2 linked regions of the Drosophila melanogaster genome follow. The protein of the gene in region 2 interacts with the protein of the main gene of each other region in a pairwise test. Each region holds a gene or a part of one and is shown on either strand. Other genes may lie near its edges. The genes, in order: CG18262 and CG11635.

The links.
Region 1: the proteins of CG11635 (region 2) and CG18262 interact in a two-hybrid assay, tested with the Drosophila melanogaster proteins (one large-scale study listed by BioGRID).

Annotation. Positions count from the first base shown.
Region 1 is NC_004354.4:8,151,336-8,155,256, forward strand, and holds CG18262 (uncharacterized protein), read left to right. Parts: upstream 1-1,612; 5' UTR 1,613-1,708; coding exon 1,709-3,118; 3' UTR 3,119-3,198; downstream 3,199-3,921. Other genes in the region: Gbeta5 (G protein beta subunit 5), read right to left, coding at 1-808.
Region 2 is NT_033778.4:8,356,787-8,360,214, reverse strand, and holds CG11635 (uncharacterized protein), read right to left. Parts: upstream 1,678-3,428; 5' UTR 1,609-1,677; coding exon 748-1,608; 3' UTR 743-747; downstream 1-742. Other genes in the region: spaw (spacewatch), read left to right, coding at 1-702.

The sequences.
Region 1 (3,921 bases), on a different chromosome or scaffold from region 2:
GCCGGCAGCTGCTGTCATCCGATCCAGTGGCTATGGCATCTCCGCAAGGATGGAACTTAACGCTATTCACATCCGATTGATGACCCTCGAAGGACTGAACGACATGACCAGAGCGCATGTCCCAGATGAAGGCCATGCGATCGCAACTGCCCGAGACAAAGGTGTTGCCCGTTTCGTTGGGAGCCAAATCGATGGCCATTACATCGCCGGAATGTCCGTGGAAGCTTTGCAGTAGCTGGCCCGATTCCACGTCCCACAAAGCGCATGTGGAATCGCCACTGCCCGTGAGGATTTGCTGATCGGAATTCGGATAGATGCAGCACGACATGTAGCTGGTGTGGGTGCCCACTGTGCGCTTCTTGGCGGCCATCTCCTCATCGGAGGTTATCGGATACACGGTGACCTTATTGTCTAGTCCGCCGCAGGCCACAAAATTGCCCGACGGCGCGTAGGCACAGGCCATAATCCAGGTGGTGGGCATGGTGACGGCGTGCTCCTTGTTCGTGGTGAACGCATCCCAGATGATCAGACGTCCGTCCTGCGACGAGGAGATGATGTGACGCTTGTCGGGACTCCAGTCGGTGCACAGGACCTTCGCCTGGTGGCCCTTGAGCACCTTACGCGGCTTGATGTTCACATAGGCGATCTGCTCCAGCCGCTCTGCGATGTTCGACAGATTGACGTCGTTCAGCTTCTGGCGCTCCTCCTCCAGTTTGGTCTTCAAATTCTCCGCCTCTCGCACCAAACTGGCCATCTTTTCAGTGGCATTCGCGTTCGCATTGCTCGCTGGCACCGCCGCCTCCGACATGGTTGCTCTGAGATGGCGCTTCTATGGATATCTCTCGGGGATTGTGTGTCCTATCCCGTTCGAACTTCTCCAATTGGACAGCGAAAAATCAATCCGAAAAAAAGTGTATACTCGAATACGAAAATCCGAATACACAGCGATAGGCGCGGTCGGTTATCGATAAGTTTTACCGTTGGTAAATGGCAGAATGTACCGTTACATATCCTTTATTTTCGGAGAACTTGATAAAAGATTGTGACGATGTTATTATTATTAATTTTCATCAATATGACAAGGTATTGATGAAAATTGGCGTCAAAATTTGTTAAATTTTTGTTCTGTTTTTGTTAAAAGCCGGTTTTCCGAATTTCCCTCATAAAATAATCAGTTTTTTGCCCAGAACTTTGAAAATAATTGACCAAATATGGTATGTCATATCTCGTTGAACTCGTAATGAAATTTCCAATCGAATTGCATTCAAATTTGCGAATTCAAAATTTTTCCATTTTTTTGCAAATTTTAATTTAATGTTACCCCTTAAAAAACATGAAAAATATGACACAAAAATAAATTTTTCTATGCCCGCCCAAAAGTGATAGGGTTCGTTAGTAGTGATAATTGGCTGTTCAAAACAGTTATTCTTTAAGCTGCATGATGATTTTCCGCCAAGTTATGACTAGAAACTACTTGTGATAACGAACTTATCGGAGTAAATACCATTTCAAATGTGGCGCCACAACCAAGGTAAGCTCAACACTGCGGTTCGTTAGCCAACACTACCATCAGCTGGGGAAAACCACCCTTCCCCACCCCCTTGAAACAAACACTTACAAAAAAGCGACGCCAACGGCTGGAATCCTCTGCTAATCCGGAGCCAGTTGACCGCCACTTCCACACAGGCAGACCAGGGAGCAAGCCGCGATGATCAAGGTGCAGCCACCGCCGGATGTGGCCGGTGGCTACCACAATCTGCGTTGCGGCGAGGTCTTATTCAGTGCACCCGCCTCCTACGAAGTGAGCTGCTTGCTGTGCGACCAGCGTTTGCCGTTGGACGGCTACCCGGAACACTTCCGGCTGAAACACTTCACGAACAGCTCCAGCTCGCTGTGTTCCAACGAACTGGAAAGCGATCCCATTGCCCAGGACGTCGTCGAAGTACAGGGAAATGAGGAGCTACATGAGGAACTGGCAAAGGAAGCTAGCCCGGACTTAGAGGAGGAGGAGGAGGAGAAGGAGGAAGGTTCCAAACGCCAGCATTACCAGCGTGCAGCGGCCATGAAGAACACCCTGGTGGAGACTCGCGAGGATTTGCTGGACATCGAACTCGACTGGACGGGCGGCGAGCAGTCGGAGCATAATGAAACTCACGAGGAGGAGGAGGGGGAATCGGATGATGATGACACGAAGGACAGCAACGACACGAAGGACATGCTCTTCCAATGCGATCAGTGCGACCGGGCGTACAACACCAAACGCAGCCTGCAGAGCCATCGCCGCCTAAAGCACAGCGAAGCCAACGGCGGAAGTCTGGACAAATCCGCCAGTGAACGCAATAGCAAGAAGCGGAAAGGTCCGCCGAAGGTGTACAAATGCAACGAGGAAGCCTGCAACCAGACATTTCGCACCGAACGCGATCTGCGCGGCCATCGCTGGAAGCACACGGGAATCTTCTGCGACATTTGCGGCAAACCCTTCACCCAGTCGGGCAACATGATGCGCCACCGCCAGCGACACAGTGGCATCAAGCCGCACAAGTGTCCGGAATGCGACGCGACCTTTTACACGCAAAAGGAGCTCTCCTCGCACAGTATCTGCCATACTGGTCGCATGCCCTGCATCTGCGAGGTGTGCGGACGACCTTGCCGAGATCGAGGCGTTCTCACGGCGCATATGCGTCGCCATACGGGCGAAAGGCCGGCCAAATGCGAGGTGTGCGGCAAGGCATTCTATAGCTTTCATGACCTCAATGTCCATGCTGTATCGCATACCAATTTGCGGCCCTTCGTCTGCGACGTTTGCGGCTCCACGTTTCAACGGAAGAAGGCGCTGCGGGTGCACAAGCTGCTCCACTCTGAGCAGCGCAAGTACGCGTGCAAATTGTGCGGCAAGACGTTCGCCCAGTCCGGCGGTCTAAATGCCCACATGCGCAGCCATGATCCGGCGAGAGTTAAGGGAGCTGTGAAGCCGCTGCCGCAATCGGTCACCATCGAGGTGATCGAGGGCAAGAGTCCGCCCACCACCACCATCACCATGGCCATCGACCTCAATGTGGAGGAGCAGCTGGTAAAGCAAACCGAGACTGCACCCACCACTTGGCGCCTGGCCAACTGAGTAGCTAGCTAGGATTAATATAAGGTTAGATGTAGTTCATCTATAAGTTCCAAATTGCGCCATAATAAATGAGAGAAATCAGAAGATTGGAAATGAATTAATAATCGTAAGAAACCAGAAGGCAGATGCATAAAACGATTGATTTGCGGTACAAAAGTGTCCTTTATTGGGGTTTCCTAAACGGAGAGGGTTCCAAGCTGTCAGCGATCCAAGTCCAGATGAGTCTGGGCTCTAATCCTTGCCAGCGTGTGCATTCTACCCGGGATTCTTAGCTCTAAACATGTAGTTCGTATCGCTATGGACTAAGTTAAGTATTGGGATAAAATAATACATACAGCCTTTGTTGTTTTTTTTTTTTTTTTTCCAAACGAAATTGATGATCATAAACGGAGGCTTTTGCGTTAAAGGTTAAAAAAATATATTCCCGCCCCTTCGTTGTTTTCAAAAAAGGTACATATTTTATATTCTATGCGCTGGTCGGTTCACTCATTACTAGTTTTTCGAAGCGATAAACTGAAGAATTAAAACCTAGCATAATTCTAGATGCAATATTAAGTAAACTAGTTTAAAATAGGGCTGACATTTCTGCCAAATGGACGTACTCAGTTACAAATATAGTTAAAATCAATCAAATTGACGAGAATGTTTTGAAAACTAAAGATTAATTAAGCACTGAAAATGCATTGATAAGGTATCACGGGTAAACCCAAGACCAACTAAGTTTTCCAATTATAGACCTATGTATTTACGTGATCTGCATTGACTTTTGTTCACTAGAACCAATAGTAAGTAATAGTATAGCA
Region 2 (3,428 bases):
GATAGAGCTAGTTCCCATCAATCTGAGCTAGGTGTTGCAGATTCTATGCATTCGGAGGTAGCCAGTGCGCTCTCAGAACCATCTGGATTGGGTGATGTAGAGAGCCTAGATCATAGCGAGATTTCGAACCAGTCTTTTGATTCCGAACTAACGAGGGATATCACCGATCAACTTAAATTGGATCACGAGATGGAAGCAAATCAGTCTTTGGATTCTGAGTTAACCGGTGAAATAACTAATCAATCTAGTTCGGTAGTTTCAGAGTCTTCGATTTCCGATGAGGACTTCGGGGAGGAGCTAATAAAACAATCTCACAAAATCGAGCAAATTGCGTCTGCTGGCGATACTCAAGAGTCCAGTCCTTCAAAAACCAATGAGAATACTCCCAAGACTGATGACACGCAGGACACTCAGCCTAAGGAAACCATACACACCTACAGGCCCTTTAGGACTATCGAAGTTCCTGCCAAGAAGCCTACTAGTAGCCTTAGCACCGAGTCAATTGAAGAGCAGCCGTTGAACCAGGAACCCCAATTCGGCACAGGTATCCATTTAGATAGAGAACGGTACAAAGTTTCTGCTCAGCTGACCGAGTCCGAGTCCCGCTTACTTATGCGCATGGCTCTGAAGCAGGCTTTAATCGATCTGGAGTCTGGCCAAAGCAAGTACAAAGCAACAATTCTGGAGGCTGAAACCGAGTAATACAAGAGCACCAATGACCAAAGAAATAAACATAACCTTTAAAACTTATTTTTTATTTTTATCCTTGTTCTTATCTTTCTTCTTATCCGTGCCCTTATCCTTCTTATCCTTTTTCATCTTCTTGAGCATGTCTTTTCTCGCCTTCTTGGCCTTTTTTATGGCACTGGGACAGACGTGGTTCTCACCATGAATTTTGACCCACTGACGACCCCGCTCCGCTTCGCAGAGGCTCAGGGGGAATCGGCACTCGCACTCGCGAGGTCGATATGGTCGCTTGGCCAGCTTAGGCTGCTTACAATCCGACCAGCAGGGCATCGGTGCACACAACCTGCGGCAGCAGGAGGGCGTCTTGGCCGCGTGGCATCTGGGCGGACGACGTCCTGGCACGCATCGTGCCAACGGAGCGAAATGGGGACATGGTCCTGTGGCTGTGGCACTGAGCGTTGTCCGCTCGCGCCGCTCGGCCACCCGACGGGCGGGGCTCAGAGCCTCCAGCTTGTCGTAGGCGCAGATTATCTTCTTGCGGATCATGAACTTGGGGCACTCCACCCAGTGGCGCTGGTAAGGACCGTTCTTGCAGGAGGGACGGTAATACAGCTCGTCGAATGAGGGCAGTGGTTTGGTGCAGTTGGGTTCGCAGCACAAGTCATTTGATCGGCTGACCACGAAGGGGTACGGCGGAGGCAGGTTCTTCGGCGGATCCCACATCGACTTGAACTTATCCCCTTCGGCGCAGAAGGCGGCCGGAATGCAGTGCGTCCGGATCTTGCATTCTCGTTTGGCAGAAGGAGACTTTGGTGGAGATGGTGACGATGGTGGCTTCGGTGGACTTGGAGGTTTTGGGGGTTTATTCGAGGAGCCGCTCTGACGTGAGCTGAAGCCCCTTAGTAGGGAGGACCAAAACATTAGCCGAAACTTTTAATGAAAGTGGAATTTTGAAAATTTTTGTATACCGTAACGCCGTTACATGAATCGCTAAATTAAAATTTTTTGCTTGGTATCCGAAATTTCGATCGAGGCCTACTGGACGAAAAAGAGCTGGTTGAAAATTGGAGAAAATCGGAAGAGGGTCCTGTCGCACACATTCACTTCTCCTGCAACTCAACTTCAATGCAACGGCGACAGGCAACACAAAATTGCAAACAGCGGACTGCGCATGTTTAAATTTAATTGAACATTTAGCCAAATTAAAATGCATTTTATTACGCAGCCGCTGTTTCTGGCCTGGAAATGCAAAACAACGCGCGCCCAATCAGCCAGGCCAAGTCAAGTAAATCCAGCGGAGTTGGCCATACGCGCAGATAGACGGAGGAAAAGGCAGGCCACACTGGAAGAAATACAATAAACATATCCAGAATTCGCATATCTACTCAGTTCAGATAATCAACTCGAGATAAATCCATCCACGATGATAAACAAACAGTAACAAGAGTATTGAATGTATACTATTCGTCCGTATTGGTTGCAATTTTTTCCAGTGTAAAGACACAGGCACGGCCAAATCGAAAGACGCTGACTGGGCCTAGGCACGCAACGGTTATTCAGTTTTGTCGGTTTTTCGATTTGGCCTTAAGTTGGCTAGGCAGTGCCTATGCGAAATTTGGCACAGATTCGCGGCAGATTCGATGCTATTCGGCTGGGATCGGATCGGATTTTGGATTGGACCGAGGCGGAACTGCGAGTTGCAAACTGGTTGGAGACAGGCCTAGCAAGCATGCGTTCTGCAATTGTTTAATAGCCTAATTAAGTGTGCGAGCGAACAGGTTGGCCAGGCCGGGAAAGTCGGAAAATCAGAGAATCGGAAAAGTCGGGCATATGCAAAGCCAAAGGAGCAGAGCGACTGTCATGCTTCACCAAGAGAGATGTGATGTGAAGTGATGTGACGGGACAGTGACTGCCATGCGGGTGGTTTGTCAGCTGCTAATGCCAGTCTGTCTTTATTTTCCTCTTTCTATTTTTTACTCCTTGTTCTGGCTTGCAATTACATTTGGCTGTTAATTGCATTATGCATATTTATGGTAGCTCTCCGGCTGCAGCTCCTCCCCCGGCAATCGAGTTAGGTCCGGAGCAGGATCAGGAGGCAGAGATGAGCAAGGAGCAAGGGAAGCAGACGGATCCGGCGACAATGCCGGCTCATTAGCATACATCAGCGCGTTAAGCTCGGAGCGAGTGTCTGACTGAGTTACGACCAGCTTTCCACTGTCTGCAGCTGCCGTCATCATCACCATCGCCATCGCCATCGCCATCGCCATCGCCATCATCATCTTCCTCGTAGTCATCGTCATCCAGTGAGTGGCTTAGTGGGTGTTGCCCTCTAATTTAAATTAAAATATGAAAAATACTCAACGAGTGAAAAGGGGTTTGGTTGCGAACAAAAACATCACGCTGCGAAAACTGAGAAACGTGCAGAAAAATCAAATCTAAAATAGCTGCTGGACATGGCATAATCAAATTGTGCGCACTGGGAGAGTAGGGAAAATCATATTTGCCAGGAGATTGTTGTCGCTGTGTGTGCAGCTGCAACTAATTATATTATTAAGATTTAAGATAATTTTTTATGCTTCTGCATTTCACAGATAAAATGAAACCAAAAAAATATAGAATAAGGCATATAGAAAGGTATAGCTCATATTTCAGGCACTGGCAAATAAATGGCAACATATCACACCATATTATAGAATAAACACAAATTGTATGATTCCAGCAATTTTCATAAAATATGTATA